Bombyx mori: one gene and its partners. The protein of the gene in region 2 purifies or fractionates together with the protein of the main gene of each other region. This does not show direct contact. Links are inferred from orthologs where the notes say so. Each region holds a gene or a part of one and is shown on either strand. Other genes may lie near its edges.

Region 1 (3,500 bases), on a different chromosome or scaffold from region 2:
TGTCAAGTTTATCTCAATAAGCGGATCGGAACTGTTTTGGAAATATTCGCGTGTAGCTATTTAGTAATATCGACAGTCCACAGGTCTTGAAACGGAAGTAATAACCGTTGATACCGGGAATACCGTTGTCAACATGCGGCTTTTATCGAGTCACACATTGACAATGTTTATAATATAGTATAATAAAAACATACCACGCTCATAAAGCACTAAAAATGGGAAGGTCTGTTCCACGAATGCCAATATCAGTGCTAATGGTTGTTGACTCGTGTCAACTGGACGTGTTTCTAACGACAAATGGGTTAAAATACCAAATTTCATGAGATTACTTAAAGCTTAAACACATTCTTAAATTGTCAAGCATGGTATTTTAACATTATGTATTTTTTTAATATTCACGTCTCAGATAAAAAGTAACTATAATAATTTGGGATCTCTTTCAACTACGCCACCAAAAAAGAGTAATGCACTACTGATTTACTGATGGTAGGACCTCTTGTGAATCCGCGCGGGTCGGTACCACCACCCTGCCTGTTTCGCCGTGAAGTGTTGAATGAGTTTCGGTTTGAAGGGTGGGGCAGCCGTTGTAACTATACTGAGACCTTAGAACTTATATCTCAAGATGGGTAGCGCATTTACGTTGTAGATGTCTATGGGCTCCAGTGACCACTTAACACCAGGTGGGCTGTGAGATCGTCCACCCATCTAAGCAATAAAAAATAAAAAAGAATTACCTTGGGTTTTTATTTTTTACTTATTTATTTATTTATAACTTTATATACTAGACAGTCTAAAGGCGGACTTAATGCCATAGGCATTCTCTGACGGTCTACCTTAGGGGGGTGCAGAGATGAACCTTGGTAGGTGTAGTGTGATAATGATATTACTTAAGCATATGTGTATATACTATTTATAGATACAAATACTCGTACTTAAATAAATACATATACATAAATATATACATATAAAAATATATATAAATAAATATTATCAATTAGATGACTATCAATTAGAAATAAAGATTCTTTAAATAAATATTATCAATTAGATGACTTTATCAATTAGAAATAAAGATTATTTTTCTTCCTACGATCTAGATTTTGTTTTGTTAATTTATCTATTAACTGCCGCAGCTCCGCCACGAGCTGGACCGAGTGGTGAGTGAACGCGACCGTCTCCTGACGGAAAGTTCGGAGCTTGGCGCCGACAAAGCGACGCGCGAGTCCGAACGCGCCGCCCTAAGAGCCGAGCTGCGGGAGGCGCGGCGGCGAGAGCAGCGGCAGCTCAGCGACATCACCGACCTGGAGGATGAGAACATCTCGCTACAGAAGCAAGTCTCAGCACTGAGGTCGTCGCAGGTCAGTACTCGGCACACGACGGCGACACGTTGTAATGTTGTATTCCATCTATACTTCTATACTAATATTATAAAGAGGAAAGATTTGTTTGTTTGTATTGAATAGGCTCCGAAACTACTGAACCGATTTGAAAAATTCTTCCACTGTTTGGAAGCTACACTATTCCCGAGTGAAATAACGGCTAAAATCTTTTTTGAAAAATATTAGGGATCCTTACTAAAACTCCAATAATGTAACCCAAGGTGTAAAAAAATTACCTAAAATATTCTTTACATCCCATGCCCTGCGAAAACTATTGATGATAGAATAAAATAATGTACTACGGCTTTGTAGAACACATTATTATTTACAAAAAGTGTCGCAACATCATATGTCTAACTATTATAGCTATACCGCAATATGTGTTCTTTTATTTAAAAAAAAACAACGTCAAATATCGTTGAAATTTTTGTTAAAGACGCGAGCGGAGCTGGAGTGGGCCGCTAGTGCTTAATAATCATCTTAATCCTAGTTTACAATTATGAAGAAGCCTATGTTTCTGGGTGGTCCGCATTATTAGGGTGACATACGAGATTACACCTATTAATTATGTTATATACTAAATGCTATGCTAATACTATGCTATAATATATAAGTATACACACTTCAATGTATCCCGATGCTGCTTTCGTTAGATGTTGCACTCGATACTACAACTTTATGTCCGCAAGTCCGAGCGTATTTGATCGCTTCGTTGGTCAAGCGGCTTCTTCAACCTCGTAAATAATATATTCAGTAGTGGTGTTCTTGTTTCGTATATAAAGGTTTCCGGAACCCCCAAGAAAATCCAAAATCGGGAATGCTACTACATATGGCTTGTTAATTATTTTGATTACTACCTGGTCCTGTTTCTGACGAGTGGAAAATATCAAATCTGTACTTGGAGTTTGGGGGGAGGGACGCGGTTCGCTAATTCGCGGCTTCCTACCTAAGCTGATAGCCTTGAGAGGCTATTTCAGCGTAACCTTAACTAGTAGGTGAGCTCACGGGGCTCAAACCGGAGTGATGCTAACACTGACCCTAGCAGGAGCAGTGCTTCGCAGAATCTACCACCGGATCGGAAACGCGACCCACTGAGAAGATCCGGCTAGTAACTCAGTGGGCTGGGTTTCACTAGCCAAGCATCCTCGCACCTCAATCCGTATGCGTTAATACAGAAAAAGTTATCACTTTATCGTGTTATCTGATTGCACCAGGTGGAATTCGAAGGATTGAAATATGAAGCTCGTCAACTCCGCGAGGAGGCGGAGGCGGCCCGCGCGACCGCCGAGGAGACGGCGGCCCTGCGGCGCATCGCCGAGCGGCAGCTGGCCGAGGCGCTGGAGGCGCTGCAGGCTGAGAGGGAAGCCAAGTTCGCCGCCAAGAAGGAGCTGGACGCGCACCTCAGCAAGGAGGCGGCGTACAACATTACGAACCTCGCCTACACTATCCGAGGTAAGAAGACAACAACAATAGATGTTGTTTTTTTAAAGTGAAACTTCTTTAGAATCGTTGTGATTTCAAACTCGATGAAACGAAAAAGTAAGTCCATAGAGACACAAACACGTAAATGTATAGGATTCAGCCGGCGAGAGAATGAGATAGAACACATTAGACGTTCTCAGTGTAGTGTTTTTTTTAATACAGCGCCATCTATGAGATTTTTTAATACTAACGTGTGTATGAAACCTCTTGTAGTGAATCTTAATTTAGGATTATACGTGAAGTTAAAATATCAATTCACAGAGGGCGCTACCTCATACTATAAAAAATGATTTACAATTATTTACTAATGACAAAATTTTATATGTACTTAGACATTTACGATAATTCTATTTTAATTTTGTTGCTTAGATGGGTGGACGATCTCACAACCCACCTGGTTTTAAGTGGTTACTGGATCTCATAGACATCTACGACGTAAATGCGCCACCCACCTTGAGATATCAGTTCTAAGGTCTCAATATAGTTACAAACCGAAACGCATTACTGCTTCACGGCAGAAATAGGCAGGGCGGTGGTACCTACCCAAGCGGATTATAATTTTGCGGGTTTGATTTTTATTACACGACGTTACTCCTTCACCGTGGAAGTCAATCGTGAACATTTGTCGAGTACGTATTT
Region 2 (4,056 bases):
TATTGTAGTTTGAGGGTGTTATCGTCGATTAACGTTCGCGCGTAGCGACTACGTAAATGGTTCCAAGGGCCCCCGAGACAAACGCGCATCGCTACCTCTACTGCCTCACTGGTTGGAACAATAACATTATCTATTGTTAATATTCTCTTTGATAACTTTCTAAAATATAATATATTAACATAACATGTTATCCATGATCACGTATATATTTTTCGTATTGTAATCAATGCTGAAATCAATATTCTATATATACTTTTTAATACTATAATAATGATGATATCCATACAGATTTATATTAAAAAAAAATCACCTGTATTCGCACTGTTTAATCCTTTTGTATGTATCCTTGAGGGTGGACGTCTCAAACGGCGGTTTGCCAACAAGCAGCGTGTACATGATGCAGCCCAGACTCCAGATATCCACTTCAAATGAGTGGCCCTTCTTTGTTAATATCTCAGGGGCAATGTAGTTTGGGGTACCACACAGAGTCTGTTTTCTCTCTCCTATGAAAGTTCATTTTGTTGTTTCAAGTTCAAAAACGAGAAATCCTTAGCATCAGAATTACAACTATGGGCGCACACTTCATGTTTATATTTCTGAGAATGATTACTTTCAGAAAGGTTGAAAAGGAAATTGAATCTCAAGGTTATTCTTAGGTATAAAAAAATGGTTTCAGTTCTTTAAGCAGAGTGTTTGCATGATAAAATTGTAAAAAGTTGTAGTCATGCCTTCATTAAAAACTTTTATCACTACAATGTGATAGAAGATCACTATCGAGTAGGCCTATAATTACCTTCATATTCAATCCTTGCTGCAAGACCAAAATCTCCAATTTTTACATGAAGATCGTCATCAAGGAACAAATTGCCAAGTTTCAAGTCTCGGTGTATTATCCTCTTACTATGGAGATATTGCACGCCAAGCAGTATCTGGTGCATGTAGAACCTAGTCTCTGGTTCTGTAATTGCTTTTCTACGCTTGTGAAGCTCCATCATCGACTGTAAGAGTGGTTTTATTAGGCTATTGGATATCAAACATTTTGTTGATTTATAGGTAGTGAAAATATGTTTTGCATTCATTTAAACGGAGACATGATGAAAGCAACATAATAAGCTACTCAGGAGTACTCATGGGCAGTAACAAATAAATAGGCCTCATCAATTTTATTTCAGAATAGTATTGCAAAATATATTCAAAATATCAACTAAAATATCCTAAACTAAATTAATATATATTGTTAGTGATGCTAAAACTCATCTAAATTTTATAAATTCTTAATGGCATTATTAAAATGTGGGTAATATGAAAATCTGACATCAGAAAGCTGCTTTACTTACTATTTTTACAAAAATATTTCAAAAGAATTCATGTAAAATTAATTATCTTTTTTAGTAAACTTGATTTGCCTTGCTTTTGTCTCCATTCTACAATGCAAGGTAGAAGTAGTTTTAACAGTAAAGGGAATATAACTATAAGAACTAAAATAAAAAATCGCAGAATTTATCAATTTATTGGACAGTTTAATATATAATTCGTAGTGTTCAACCAAAATTTTACTGTTATGTTCAGCTTCATAGATAGTTTAAAGTAAAATGTTTAATGCATTCACAGTCATAAATTTCCCAAAATTTTTAAGTCAACTACTTATGTTTATTGATTGTTTCCCATGTCAATTGCACATCATAACATGCAATTCACATAATCAAGCTGTCTTATTTTTAATGGTACTTGAGTGTATTTCATAAATATTAAAATGAAATATATATTTTTCATGATGTGGAAAATTAAAGAATATTTAATTTTCCAAGACTCAAGAGTTTAAGAGATTTTTTTTTTATAATTTTACTTAAGAGTTCTTTTCTCCATTTTTGTACTGGTGTATCAACAAGTTATTGTTAATCACATAAATGTTATTCCGAGGCTTTGGTGACTGTATGAGAATCAAATGGAACATGGGCTCGGAAACTATCAACCATCTAATTCATTTCCATACCTTAGAATCGTATGAATTTTTAACTTAAATTGTTATTCAGTTTTTTGGACAAGATCAATTGACAAAAAATTAAAATATGCATGATACTTGCCCGTTTTTTACAAAGCTCCAATATTATATAAATATTCAAAGAGTCCTCGAAGAAACTGTGGAAGCCAACTACATGCTTGTGCTGGAGAGACCTGTGAATGGAGATCTCTTGAGCCATCTTCTCTTTGTGCGATGACTTCACTATTAGTTTCTTTGAAACAATTTTTCCAGCATATATCTGGTTGGAGGCTATGTCTTGGATCTCGTAGCATTTTGCAAAGCCACCCTAAAAACGATCATTGTGTTAACAGAAATATAAGCTTTAATTTAAAATTTTCGTCATTGCTTGTGTTTCGCATATCAGTTATGCACACATATTCTATACGTGTCGTTAATTTCTGTTGAATTAATGATATGCAAATTCGACTGACAAACTTCAGTTATATTGATCTGCATTTTTATATGTCTGTAGTCAGGCTATTTCGAAACAGGTGCATGCTGGGCGGCGTTGAACTTTTTTATGTATTCAATGAGACGGTTACTAAAATATACATTTTTGTACTTCGTGTACAGAATATTATTAGTGCTTTAAATGTATAAAAGAACAGAGTATGTATACATTATATCCCTATTTAAAATTAAAGTGTTTCGAATAACGTAGATACAGTAAGTACTTACCTTGCCAAAAAACCGTAATCTTTGGTAGGTGCTGTTAGTTTGTGGATCGTGAATGATTTCGGGGATTTCTTTCTTTTCATCTTCCTTGATCGACGTCATTTTTAGCTAGCTTAAAAATATAAACTACAGTCAAATAATATTAAATAACAGTAAAGTTCACTAAAAGTAATTGTTGACAAATTAACAAAGGGGATCTCAAACGGCCATACGTTTGAACTTCAATTAACTTCAAAGTTTGAAGGCCGTTTTGAACGGTTTTTAATTTTCAACCAATAGGGCGCCGCGATGCTTATACCAGTGTTGCTAGGTTTGTAAAAATGTTATACCATATTGTAAAAATGTTTTTTGGCTGTACAGGCTGCACAGAAATCAGTGCAATAAATCGAAATGGCAAAAATCTTAGACTATACCTACAAGGAGTTTATGATTTGAAACTGCAATGTTGTATAGGTAAGAGTAAGATAATTCATTTTAATTAAAACTGCATTAGTGAGCGAGTAACAATAAAGAAAGACAGTTTCTGTAATGATTTTTGCGGCACTTCCTGATCACGAAATTATTGTTGAAGCCTGCTAAAAAGTTCTTTCTATCGATTCAGCTTGCCGTCAATATTGAGAATATGTGAATATTAATTGAAAGCTATTTATAATTTTAATGTTTAATATCCTTTTTTACTGTTTTTCATACACTTTTTTTCTCAAAAGCCAAGTTTTGTGTTTTTTTTTGTTGTACACAAGTACAAGTGCAGATGTTTTTGTTCCTGTTGACAAAGTGTGCGTGTGTTAAAAATTTTAATGGTGTATAACCATAGACCATAGAGTTACTATTCTAACTGGAGTGCTTACTTCGTTTGACATAAAAACTAAAAATATACTTTATCTCTATGACTTAAAGTTTATTTTTAAATAGCAAAAGATGTAAGGAAAAACGGTCTGAAAAGAGAATGATTATTAAGTGGTGGTGTCCCTCTCGCACATTTTACAAACAAAAAGCAGTGTTGCTAGCTTAGAGGATTTTCCATAAAATCTCGGAATTCGGACCCCCGTCTTAGTTATCAAAAATGGCTTTTAGTGGTTAGTGGATTTTTTAGTAGCTTGGGCGTTGTAGAAAATTATCGAAAAGGTTAAAATCAATCAACTTTACAGGATTTTAAACATTTTATGACAATAATATGTCTAAATACATATTATTTAAACGATGTGACTTAAACTTAACTAGAAAATGTTGCGACAATTTAGAATTTCCATCAACGTCAAAAATTAAATTTGTTCAAAATAAACGTACAAAGTTATGGTGAAATTAGTTTCTGATTATGACAATTTATTAAAATAAATTATATAAGAAGTATTGATTTT
Region 3 (3,688 bases), on a different chromosome or scaffold from region 2:
TCTGCCTACACGGCTAATAAAAAAAACACCGAGGCGGACTATATTCGCAATCATATCTATTTAATTAAATTTTTCTAACTGACAAAGAAACTCATGATCATGTCAATAAATTATCACTTAGTTTATGAGCATTAAGAACTCACGAACTGACGGTAGGGTTTCTTAAGAGTTCCACCGCTCTACCTGGCTGCGTTGAATCAGACGCGCGTTCCCCTTTTAGGCACTCAATATACAAAACATTTCTGACTTTGATATCATTTGCTGTGACGAAAGAAAAAGGGTGGATTAACCCTCAGACACAGCCCACTGAATTTCTCGCCGGATCTTCTCATTGGGTCGCGTTTCCGATCCGGTGGTAGATTCTGCGAAGCACGGCTCTTGCTAGAGTTCGTGTTAGCAACGTCGTCAGGTTTGAGCCCCGTGAGCTCACCTACTAGTTAAGGTTACGCTGATATAGCCTCTCAAGGCTCACAGCTTAGGTAGGAGAAAAAAAAGGTGGATTTCGTTTTTTTTTTTAAACTATATTGAGCTTAGGAATTACGCGTCGACAACATAATTTGGATGCACGACTAATAACGGATCGTCTTCTATGTCTTGTTCCGACGACTTCTGAGTTCCTCTGAGTCCGGTCGTTGATAAAGGTATTATTACTTGATCCTGAAATAAATAAAAGAAAACAATAGTGTAAATACTTGAGTGTTTTATTTATTTATTTTATCTGTTATTGCCCTTGTAGGCAGACGAGCATACGGCCCACCTGATGGCGGGTGGATACCGTCGCCCATGGACTTCAGCAACGCCAGGGGCAGAGCCAAGCCACTGCCTACCGTTTAATACTTTTCACAAGCCTATATATAAATGGTCACCCCTTAGGTGTTGTGACGTCGCCGGGCAGATTAGCTTACGACCGCTGATCACATTGACACGAGGTCAATATCTCAATTACATTGGAAATACATTCCTTCTATCCATCAAGATCGTTTACATAATTCTAGATCATAAGAACGAGACTAGTTTTTTTTCTAAACTTTACTTTTTACTTTTACTTTTTTAAGCTACAGATATTTATTTGTCGTTTTTTGTATTTTTACTTGTGTCTATTTATAACAACTACATTTATATTAATTATTTAAGGAAATCTCTTTTAACTATCACAGTTATGTATAATACATTGAAACTAATTGCTTAAGCTTCCAATTGCTTTAAGGTCAAAATAATAGCTAGGACCGTATCACCCATGGATTATGACCGTGTAACAATAGTACCTATCTATTATGTAACAACATATTTTAATGCAGTAGTAGACTAAGTATACGATTCTATAGACAGCGTAGACCTGTAGGCAGCGACTTGGCTCTGCCCCTGTCATTGCTGACGACCATGAGCAAAGGTGACCACTTACCATCAGGTGGGCCGTATGCTCGTCTGCCTACAAAGGCAATAAAAAAAATTTATATACTGACAACATTACTATTTTATACAAAAAAAAAATACGTATATAACTAGTCAGGTCATAAGTATTGTCACACAGTAAAAACTTTTCTTTTAGAATGCTGGCCACAAAAAAGTTTATTGAATTCGAATTTCGAATTGTTCATGAAAATAAAAATGTATACTTGTAGAATTTTACTCATTTTTAAATATGGAGTGGACGCTTAAAGAAGACCGTGTTGCAGTTATTGCGTTGCATCGTTGCGGTTACGCGCCAATTCAAATTTTTAACATACTGAAAAATTTTAATATAACCAAAAGATTCATTTATCGTACCATCAAACGATACAATGAAGACTCTAGTGTAGATGACAGGTCAAGAAGTCGCCCTCGGTCTGTTAGGACTCCAGCAGTGATAAAAGCTGTGAAACCGCGAATTCAAAGAAATCCCAAACGTAAGCAGAAACTGTTGGCCCTTCAGATGGGGTTAAGCAGAACCACGGTGAAAAGGGTGTTAAATGAAGACTTAGGGCTTCGGGCATATCGAAGAAAAACAGGACATCATTTGAATGCTCGTCTAATGGACCTGAGACTGAAGAGATGCCGCTCTTTGTTGAAGCGGTACGCGGGAAAAAAATATCGGGAAATTCTTTTTTCGGATGAAAAAATGTTTACCGTAGAAGAGAGCTACAACAAACAAAATGATAAGGTGTACGCACACAGTAGTGAAGAAGCGAGCAACCGTATTCCGCGTGTCCAACGAGGTCATTTTCCATCCTCGCTCATGGTATGGTTGGGAGTTTCTTATTGGGGCTTAACAGAGGTACATTTTTGTGAGAAAGTTGTAAAAACGAATGCAGTTGTGTATCAAAATACAGTCCTGACGAACCTTGTGGAACCTGTTTCTCATACCATGTTCAATAAACAGGCACTGGATATTCCAACAAGATTCAGCGCCAGCTCATAGAGCGAAGAGCACACAAGACTGGCTGGCGGCGCGTGAAATCGACTTCATCCGGCACGAAGACTGGCCCTCCTCCAGTACAGATTTGAATCCGTTAGATTACAAGATATGGCAACACTTGGAGGAAAAGGCGTGCTCAAAGCCTCATCCCAATTTGGAGTCACTCAAGACATCCTTGATTAAGGCAGCCGCCGATATTGACATGGACCTCGTTCGTGCTGCGATAGACGACTGGCCGCGCAGATTGAAGGCCTGTATTCAAAATCACGGAGGTCATTTTGAATAAACCTTAGTGTCATAAGAATCTATGTTTTGTTAAGTTCATTTTGGTATATGAATGGTTACATAATGAATAAACTTGTTTCAATTATTTTACATTAAACATGTGACAGAATTTATGACCTGACTAGGTATAAATATAATCAATGGATAATTAAGGGTACATTTTTAAATTAACATAGTATAATATAAAAAAAGAACGTGTGGCACTCGGGAACTGCCACGGTAAAAGCTATGCAATAGCTTAAAAACACACACACAAACACAAAAGACACTTACATGGTACATAAGTCTATCAATGACTTTCTCAACTAGTGTCTTTCGTTCAAGTAACTCGTCTTCGCTTTCGATTTGTCCTTGTGCCACCAGCTGTTCTAGGTACCAGCTCACTACGGCAGACTTGTGCATACCGGAGCTCTCCTCGTCTGAAATATAAGTTACACTGAGATTAGTTAAATGGTAATAAAATGTATCAAGACCAAGATATTTCACTGGTTTATTGGTGGTCGGACCTCTTGTGAGTCCGCGCGGGTGGGTACCACCACCCTGCCTATTTCTGCCGTGAAGCAGTAATGCGTTTCAGTTTGAAGGGTGGGGCAGCCCTTGTAACTATACAAGAGACCTTAGAACTTATATCTCAAGGTGGGTGGCGCATTTACGTTGTGGATGTCTATGGGCTCCAGTAACCACTTAACACCAGGTGGGCTGTGAGCTCGTCCACCCATCTAAGCAATAAAAAAAAAACAGAGTGTCCGGCCTCAATCCTTAGACTTGAACTCGACAAATACAGTGCTGTTCTGCACTGTATAAAATGTATGCGTTGTGTTCAAATTATTTTTAAGAATAATTACATTACATGACTCTACAAGAAGCAAAGATCTTTTTCTGTGTTGTGAAAACAAAAATAAGAAACGAAAACGAGTATACCCAAACCCAATACAAACATCTTGCATGTACAAATTAGATGGGACTCGATCGAACTAAACCTTTGTGTATTACTATTAACTATTATTA
Region 4 (2,351 bases), on a different chromosome or scaffold from region 2:
TGGTCCCCTTAAGTTACACGTGCCTCATTAACACGATAGCAGAATTGATAGATTTGGTCTGAAAATTTGCATTTACTTTCACCGCCATTATCTCAACTTTCTTTCTTTTCATGGAACAATAGCTTTACTAGTTTATACAACTCGTCTTTTTAAATTTTAGGGTGATAGTGGCGGGCCACTGATGGTCAACGAAGGTGGTACGTGGAACCAAGTCGGAATCGTATCATGGGGTATCGGTTGCGGTAAAGGACAGTACCCAGGTGTATACACACGCATCACTGCATTCCTACCTTGGATACAGAAGAACTCCAAGTGAGGAAAATATATAAAACGTTATAACGGTAGAAAATTGGATGCCGTTATGAAAAACATAAAAATATTTTATTTCAATTATTTTGAGAAAAACAACCTTAAGCTTGCTTTTCTCAATGAATTGATATTTTATTTTGACAACGAAATGTGCCAATTTAGCTTAAGTTTCTAAAATAAAATACGTAAACTTTTCAATAATCGTTTTATTTTGTGTTAGATTAAATTTATTCATATAATTGAAGCACCTATGCTGTGAAAGATACATTTTTTGTTCTGAAACGATAATACATATTGTTAATAATAATGACACAAAATCAGTCTTCAGAATAAAGGACTTAATAATATAATTTTATTACAACGTTATTTATAAATACATTATAACATTTATACTTTTCATATAGATTAACACGCTGATCATTATTATGCAGCTAACATTCTCAACTAGTTAAAGGTTTATCATGAACATTTAAAATTATATGTCGAAATTTGATACTTGGAGTTGTTGTAAAATATTGCGGGCTGAAACAAAAAGTTATTAGTTAAATGATGATAATTTACAATTGAATGTAAATTAGAATTTTTAAATAGAAATAAATATAGGAATTTCGTCAAAAATAAGTAACGTAAATTCTTTTCAGATTCGTGTGGGTAGTTGTCGAAATAAGAAAAATAATGCACATTGAGTAGCATGACGTTAGTTCTATTTATGTGCAGACATGCGAAAGAGATGTTTCTGCTGTGCACCTACTTTGTGCAATATTTTTTTAAAATAACTATTATTACGACATTTCTCAATTTCTTTATAGTTGTTTTTACAAAAATATTCTTTAAGCTGTGGCGGTAGTCATCACAGAACACAAGATATTTGACAGATGCCTGAATCTCGCTTACGACATTTTCAAGATAAGCTTGCATATATACAAGTTCCGAACGACAACATGTGGGACCGGTCATCGTTCTCGTCGAACCCGTCGCTTGCGACGAAGGTCTCGACGAGAAAATTATCCCACAGACACAGCCCACTGAGTTTCTCGCCGGATCTTCTCAGTGGGTCGCGTTTCCGATCCGGTGGTAGATTCTGTGAAGCACGAGTCTTGCTAGGGTTCGTGTTAGCAACGTCGTCAGGTTTGTGCCCCGTGAGCTCACCTACTAGTTAAGGTTACGCTGAAATAGCCTCTCAAGGCTATCAGCATAGGTAGAAATAAAAAAAAAAACATTTGGATCGTCGGTCTACCGAGCAAAATATCACACGCTTGGTGTAAAATCTTCCCGCCGTCGTGTATCCCTATATGGGTGACCTGCGACGGAACAACTGCAGTCTTCACACTACATCATCAGCGCATCAAGAACTTCGGCTACCACAATTCCCGCATTCAGATTCCCCCATAATACAATTGTTTAAGGAGCTAACGTTGTCTGTAGTGTACCTTGGAAGTATCCTGTGTCATGTAAATCGTCGGGCGTGGGAACGAATGGCGGTTCCGTGTTGAGTTGGTTCTCCCAGTCAACGTTTCTGAACAAGGGCATGGCCCGCACGTCGGCGGCGGCCGGGCGCTCCGCCGGCTCCATCGTCAGTAGAGCCTCGATAGAACTCACAGCTTCGGGCGATAACGCTTCGTCACCTTCTGGCCATTCGATATCTGGAATACAAAATACAAAGTACGCTTATATGACAATAAAAAATTTGGATTTCATTTATTGTGTGCCTATACTGGGTATTAGGAGATCGTTTCCGAAGACAGAGTACTACTAAAGACACCTTTGATGATGGGAAGGAAAAAAAATCGATGCTGATTTAAAAAAAAAAACATATTTTTAAACGCATTGTTTACGCTCCGTCAAGTTAGTCGGCTAAATGAAATGATAGTTTCATAAAAAATACATTAATTATTATTAATACTTTTTATTAAAACCAGCAATGAAACACAAAATCAAAAACAGCTGATGCTCGGATCAACGAACGCCCGGGCGCGCTTTTCTTTTACACGCACACCGGCGCGGCGCTGATACCACACTCCCCAAAATTTATAGCTTTGTAG
Region 5 (3,500 bases), on a different chromosome or scaffold from region 2:
TCTAAAAATAGTTAAACAATAATAAAAGATTTAATTACGTTTTCTGTACAATAATAAGAAAACAACATTTAAAGCCTTTTTTATTTTCCACAACTTATTTTACACAGTATTTTTGAATTAAATAAATGTGAACTCGTTTTTTTTCTCAATAACGGAGAGTTCAGTCAATCTATATAAAATAAATCATTTAAAAAAAAACTAAAATGGTTTTATACAAAAATTACATAAAAAGGTTTTTCTTTACATATATGTATATACTAGCCGTACTCGCCCGCTCCGCTGGGCATTTAGAATTAATATTATTAATAATTGTCATTATTAGAGTCCAACACTCATATAAATATTAGTCTATCCATTAAGTACATGTGTTTTCTACATGGATACCAAGTTTCAAGTCAATCGGATGCACGGTTCAGTAGTTATAACGGAACATCCGTAAAAACCACTGTAGATTTACATATAAAGTATATAGATATGTATATTTATTTGAAAAACATCTGCTCCAAATCGAGAACCTCCCTACGTTCAAGCAGTTTCATTGACAAAAGGATACAGTTTATCTTTCCCCGCCATGGAGACGCAGGGGTTCCCTTGTATTGTGAAGCTTTCTAAGTTACTCAAGTGCACCAGATGACATATTTCGTTGAGGTCCTGTATGTTGTTGTGGGCGACGCCGAAATGCACTAGATTCGAGGGTAGGTAGCGATCGCACTGACGCAAATCTATTATACGATTCCTTTCTAAGCTTAGATACTGAAAGACGAAGAAAATTATGAACTTTACAATTTTTTTATTTATTGCTTAGATGGTTGGAGGAGCTCACAGCCCACCTGGTGTTAAGTGGTTACTGGAGCCCATAGACATCTACCACGTAAATGCGCCACCCACCTTGGCATATAAGTTCTAAGGTCTCAAGTACAATTACAACGGCTGCCCCACCCTTCAAACCGAAACGCATTACTGCTTCACGGCAGAAATAGGCGGGGTGGTGGTACCTACCCGTGCGGACTCACAAGAGATCCTACCACCAGTAATTACGCAAACTATAATTTTGCGGGTTTCATTTTTATTACACGATGTTATTCCTTCACCGTGGATGTCAATCGTGAACATTAATTTGTTGAGTACGTATTACAGTAGAGTAATTTTTTAAACAGATCCGAGGTCGAATGTTTGATATTTGGGACAATAAAAACGTCTTTTATCTGGAGAGTTATGATTCGGCAACGGTTGTCTTGTATGGACATATTGCATTGGCAATTAATTACCCACTATAGTTAGATATCAGACAAAAATTCAAATCGCGTTTGTGGTAATTAACATAAATATTACTCTGCAATAGTTCCGAACACGCGACACTCGCGAATTATGGTCCATGAAGGAATAAAGTGAAGGCGAAAGATCTTCCGCTTGATAATAGTTTGATGAGACAAGTCATCTATGTTGCACTAAAGCAGTGCAGTCTGTTTAATATTAAATTTTAAGGACTTATTAGCTTAACCCTTTAGGCAGTTTAGTATTTCGCAATTGAGAATCAACTTCATTTCTAACATTACATTGCTACTGGTTCGCTTGGAAGAAATTACCCTTCATAACACTCTTATATAGGCAGTTTTTTTTGCAACCACACATTTTTTACGTTGCATGGATGAGTGAGCCTATGACCTTAGTGAGCTTATGACCCACCTGCTATTACCAGAGAGCCCATTGACATAAAATACCATAGCCATCTTTTAGGCATTTTAGTGATTCACGATTGAGAATTATCATTTCTAAGACTATATTGCTATTGGTTCATTTGGACGAAAAGGCTTTTCACGACATTCTTATAAAGACACTTTCTTTTAACAACTGCAAATTTTTTTCGTTGCGTTGATGAATGAGCCTATAACCTTAGTGAGCTTATGACATGAAATTGGTGTTAAAAATGACATAATTACTGGTGGTAGGACCTCTTGAGAGTCCGCGCGGGTAGGTACCACCATCCTGTTTATTTCTGCCGTGAAGCAGTAATGCGTTTCGGTTTGAAGGGTGGGGTAGCCGTTGTAACTATACCTGAGACCTTAGAACTTATGTCTCAAGGTGGGTGGCGCATTTACGTTGTAAATGTCTATGGGCTCTGTTGGAAACCCAACAAAATTGGTATAAAACCTTTTTTATTGTTGTGGTTGTGGTTTCTGACATTACATTTGAATTGGAATTTTGGAATGTCATAGTTTTGTAATTCTCTTTTCATCCGTGCTATTGTACGCGATTTATGAAATTGTAAAAATATACAAATTTTATACGTGCAATCCTCGCGAATTTATTTATCAAGTTCCTTGCCCATCTTAATCATACAGTCCACTACAGGCTCCAGTAACCACTTAACACCAGGTGGACTGTGAACTCGCCCACCCATCCAAGAAAAAAAAAATGCTACTACCCATCTTGAAATACGAGGTTGAAGTCTCATTTTATATTCACGATAGACGTTCCCATCAAACCTAAGCGCTTGACTGCTTGACACTGCCCAAACTAGACCGAATGTCAGTTCCAACCACCAAATGTCACTGGAGCGCGTCGATTTTGCGATTCTACATTGCGATCGTCAAACAGATGGATCAATGTAAATCTACTGTTACCTTGTAACGTGTTGATTATTTTAGCTATTTATGGGACTATAAGTTTTAGTTACCTCTATATTAAACTAATTATTGTAATAATAATATTAACAATGATAATAAGAAGAAAATGCGCTAAATTCTAGTGTCTGCATTTAGTTATTTAAAACTCCTTCGTGAAGCGATGATTATATTTCTATTACATACCTTTAAATTCTTCAAATAAGAGATATCGGCTATGAACGAGATCTGATTGTTTGATAGATCCAAATGTTCCAAATGCATGTTGTTATTCAAATGCTCTATCGATTTTATGCTGTTACCTGAAAAGAAAAATCGTTTTGATTGTCTTAAAACTAAGATTCGATTTGTGTTTATCATCGTGTACTTGCGTAAATGTATTACTTAACATTGAATTTAAATAAATAATAGTTAAAAAAAAACTAACAAAATACGCTTTTATAGAAAATCCAACTAAGAAATAGAAAATAAATTTTAATAAATTTGAATTAGAAATAGTGTAAGAAAAAATGATTTTATTGTAAAAAATATTATCAAAATAACCCTTCTACTCATATCTGTTCATAAAATATTTATAACTACTGATACCACGCACCCCACGCAAACTCATGTTCAAAGATTCAGTTACAAACATACATACGTCTGAAGCTAATAAAAGCGTATTAAAAAGCTTAGAAATATTATTAGCGAAGCTTCTTTCGTATATGCTTTGTAGGCAAAACGAGCATACAGCCCATCTGGTGGTGAGTGGTTCCCGTTGATCATAGACGACAGCAATGCCAAGGCCACAGCCGTGACGCTGACTGCCACAAAACTGCATACCGTTTTAACCATTTAAATATCTATGTAAACTTGCTGTATAATTGGTCCTAGTGT

The links. The genes of interacting proteins can lie anywhere in the genome.
Region 1: the proteins of serine/threonine-protein kinase polo (region 2) and protein bicaudal D purify together in Homo sapiens (affinity purification with mass spectrometry; 6 studies listed by BioGRID and IntAct, counting the BioPlex papers as one, with this or other methods). This does not show direct contact. The link is inferred for Bombyx mori from reciprocal best matches to the Homo sapiens genes PLK1 and BICD2.
Region 3: the proteins of serine/threonine-protein kinase polo (region 2) and DNA replication licensing factor Mcm6 purify together in Homo sapiens (affinity purification with mass spectrometry; 3 studies listed by BioGRID and IntAct, with this or other methods). This does not show direct contact. The link is inferred for Bombyx mori from reciprocal best matches to the Homo sapiens genes PLK1 and MCM6.
Region 4: the proteins of serine/threonine-protein kinase polo (region 2) and serine/threonine-protein kinase greatwall purify together in Homo sapiens (affinity purification with mass spectrometry; 3 studies listed by BioGRID and IntAct, with this or other methods). This does not show direct contact. The link is inferred for Bombyx mori from reciprocal best matches to the Homo sapiens genes PLK1 and MASTL.
Region 5: the proteins of serine/threonine-protein kinase polo (region 2) and centrosomal protein of 97 kDa purify together in Homo sapiens (affinity purification with mass spectrometry; 4 studies listed by BioGRID and IntAct, with this or other methods). This does not show direct contact. The link is inferred for Bombyx mori from reciprocal best matches to the Homo sapiens genes PLK1 and CEP97.

The regions. Positions count from the first base shown.
Region 1 is NC_085125.1:2,127,102-2,130,601, forward strand, and holds part of protein bicaudal D, read left to right. Parts: intron 1-1,133; coding exon 1,134-1,358; intron 1,359-2,593; coding exon 2,594-2,831; intron 2,832-3,500. UniProt on the Homo sapiens protein: Acts as an adapter protein linking the dynein motor complex to various cargos and converts dynein from a non-processive to a highly processive motor in the presence of dynactin.
Region 2 is NC_085121.1:12,620,914-12,624,969, reverse strand, and holds the start of serine/threonine-protein kinase polo, read right to left. Parts: upstream 2,801-4,056; coding exon 2,702-2,800; intron 2,310-2,701; coding exon 2,085-2,309; intron 999-2,084; coding exon 794-998; intron 504-793; coding exon 311-503; intron 109-310; coding exon of another isoform or gene 1-108. UniProt on the Homo sapiens protein: Serine/threonine-protein kinase that performs several important functions throughout M phase of the cell cycle, including the regulation of centrosome maturation and spindle assembly, the removal of cohesins from chromosome arms, the inactivation of anaphase-promoting complex/cyclosome (APC/C) inhibitors, and the regulation of mitotic exit and cytokinesis.
Region 3 is NC_085132.1:5,453,839-5,457,526, forward strand, and holds the end of DNA replication licensing factor Mcm6, read right to left. Parts: intron 3,100-3,688; coding exon 2,954-3,099; intron 658-2,953; coding exon 538-657; 3' UTR 501-537; downstream 1-500. UniProt on the Homo sapiens protein: Acts as a component of the MCM2-7 complex (MCM complex) which is the replicative helicase essential for 'once per cell cycle' DNA replication initiation and elongation in eukaryotic cells.
Region 4 is NC_085111.1:9,215,376-9,217,726, forward strand, and holds the end of serine/threonine-protein kinase greatwall, read right to left. Parts: intron 1,953-2,351; coding exon 1,740-1,952; intron 832-1,739; coding exon 785-831; 3' UTR 501-784; downstream 1-500. Other genes in the region: proclotting enzyme, read left to right, coding at 161-316. UniProt on the Homo sapiens protein: Serine/threonine kinase that plays a key role in M phase by acting as a regulator of mitosis entry and maintenance.
Region 5 is NC_085120.1:10,922,642-10,926,141, reverse strand, and holds part of centrosomal protein of 97 kDa, read right to left. Parts: intron 2,927-3,500; coding exon 2,811-2,926; intron 754-2,810; coding exon 554-753; intron 1-553. UniProt on the Homo sapiens protein: Acts as a key negative regulator of ciliogenesis in collaboration with CCP110 by capping the mother centriole thereby preventing cilia formation. Required for recruitment of CCP110 to the centrosome.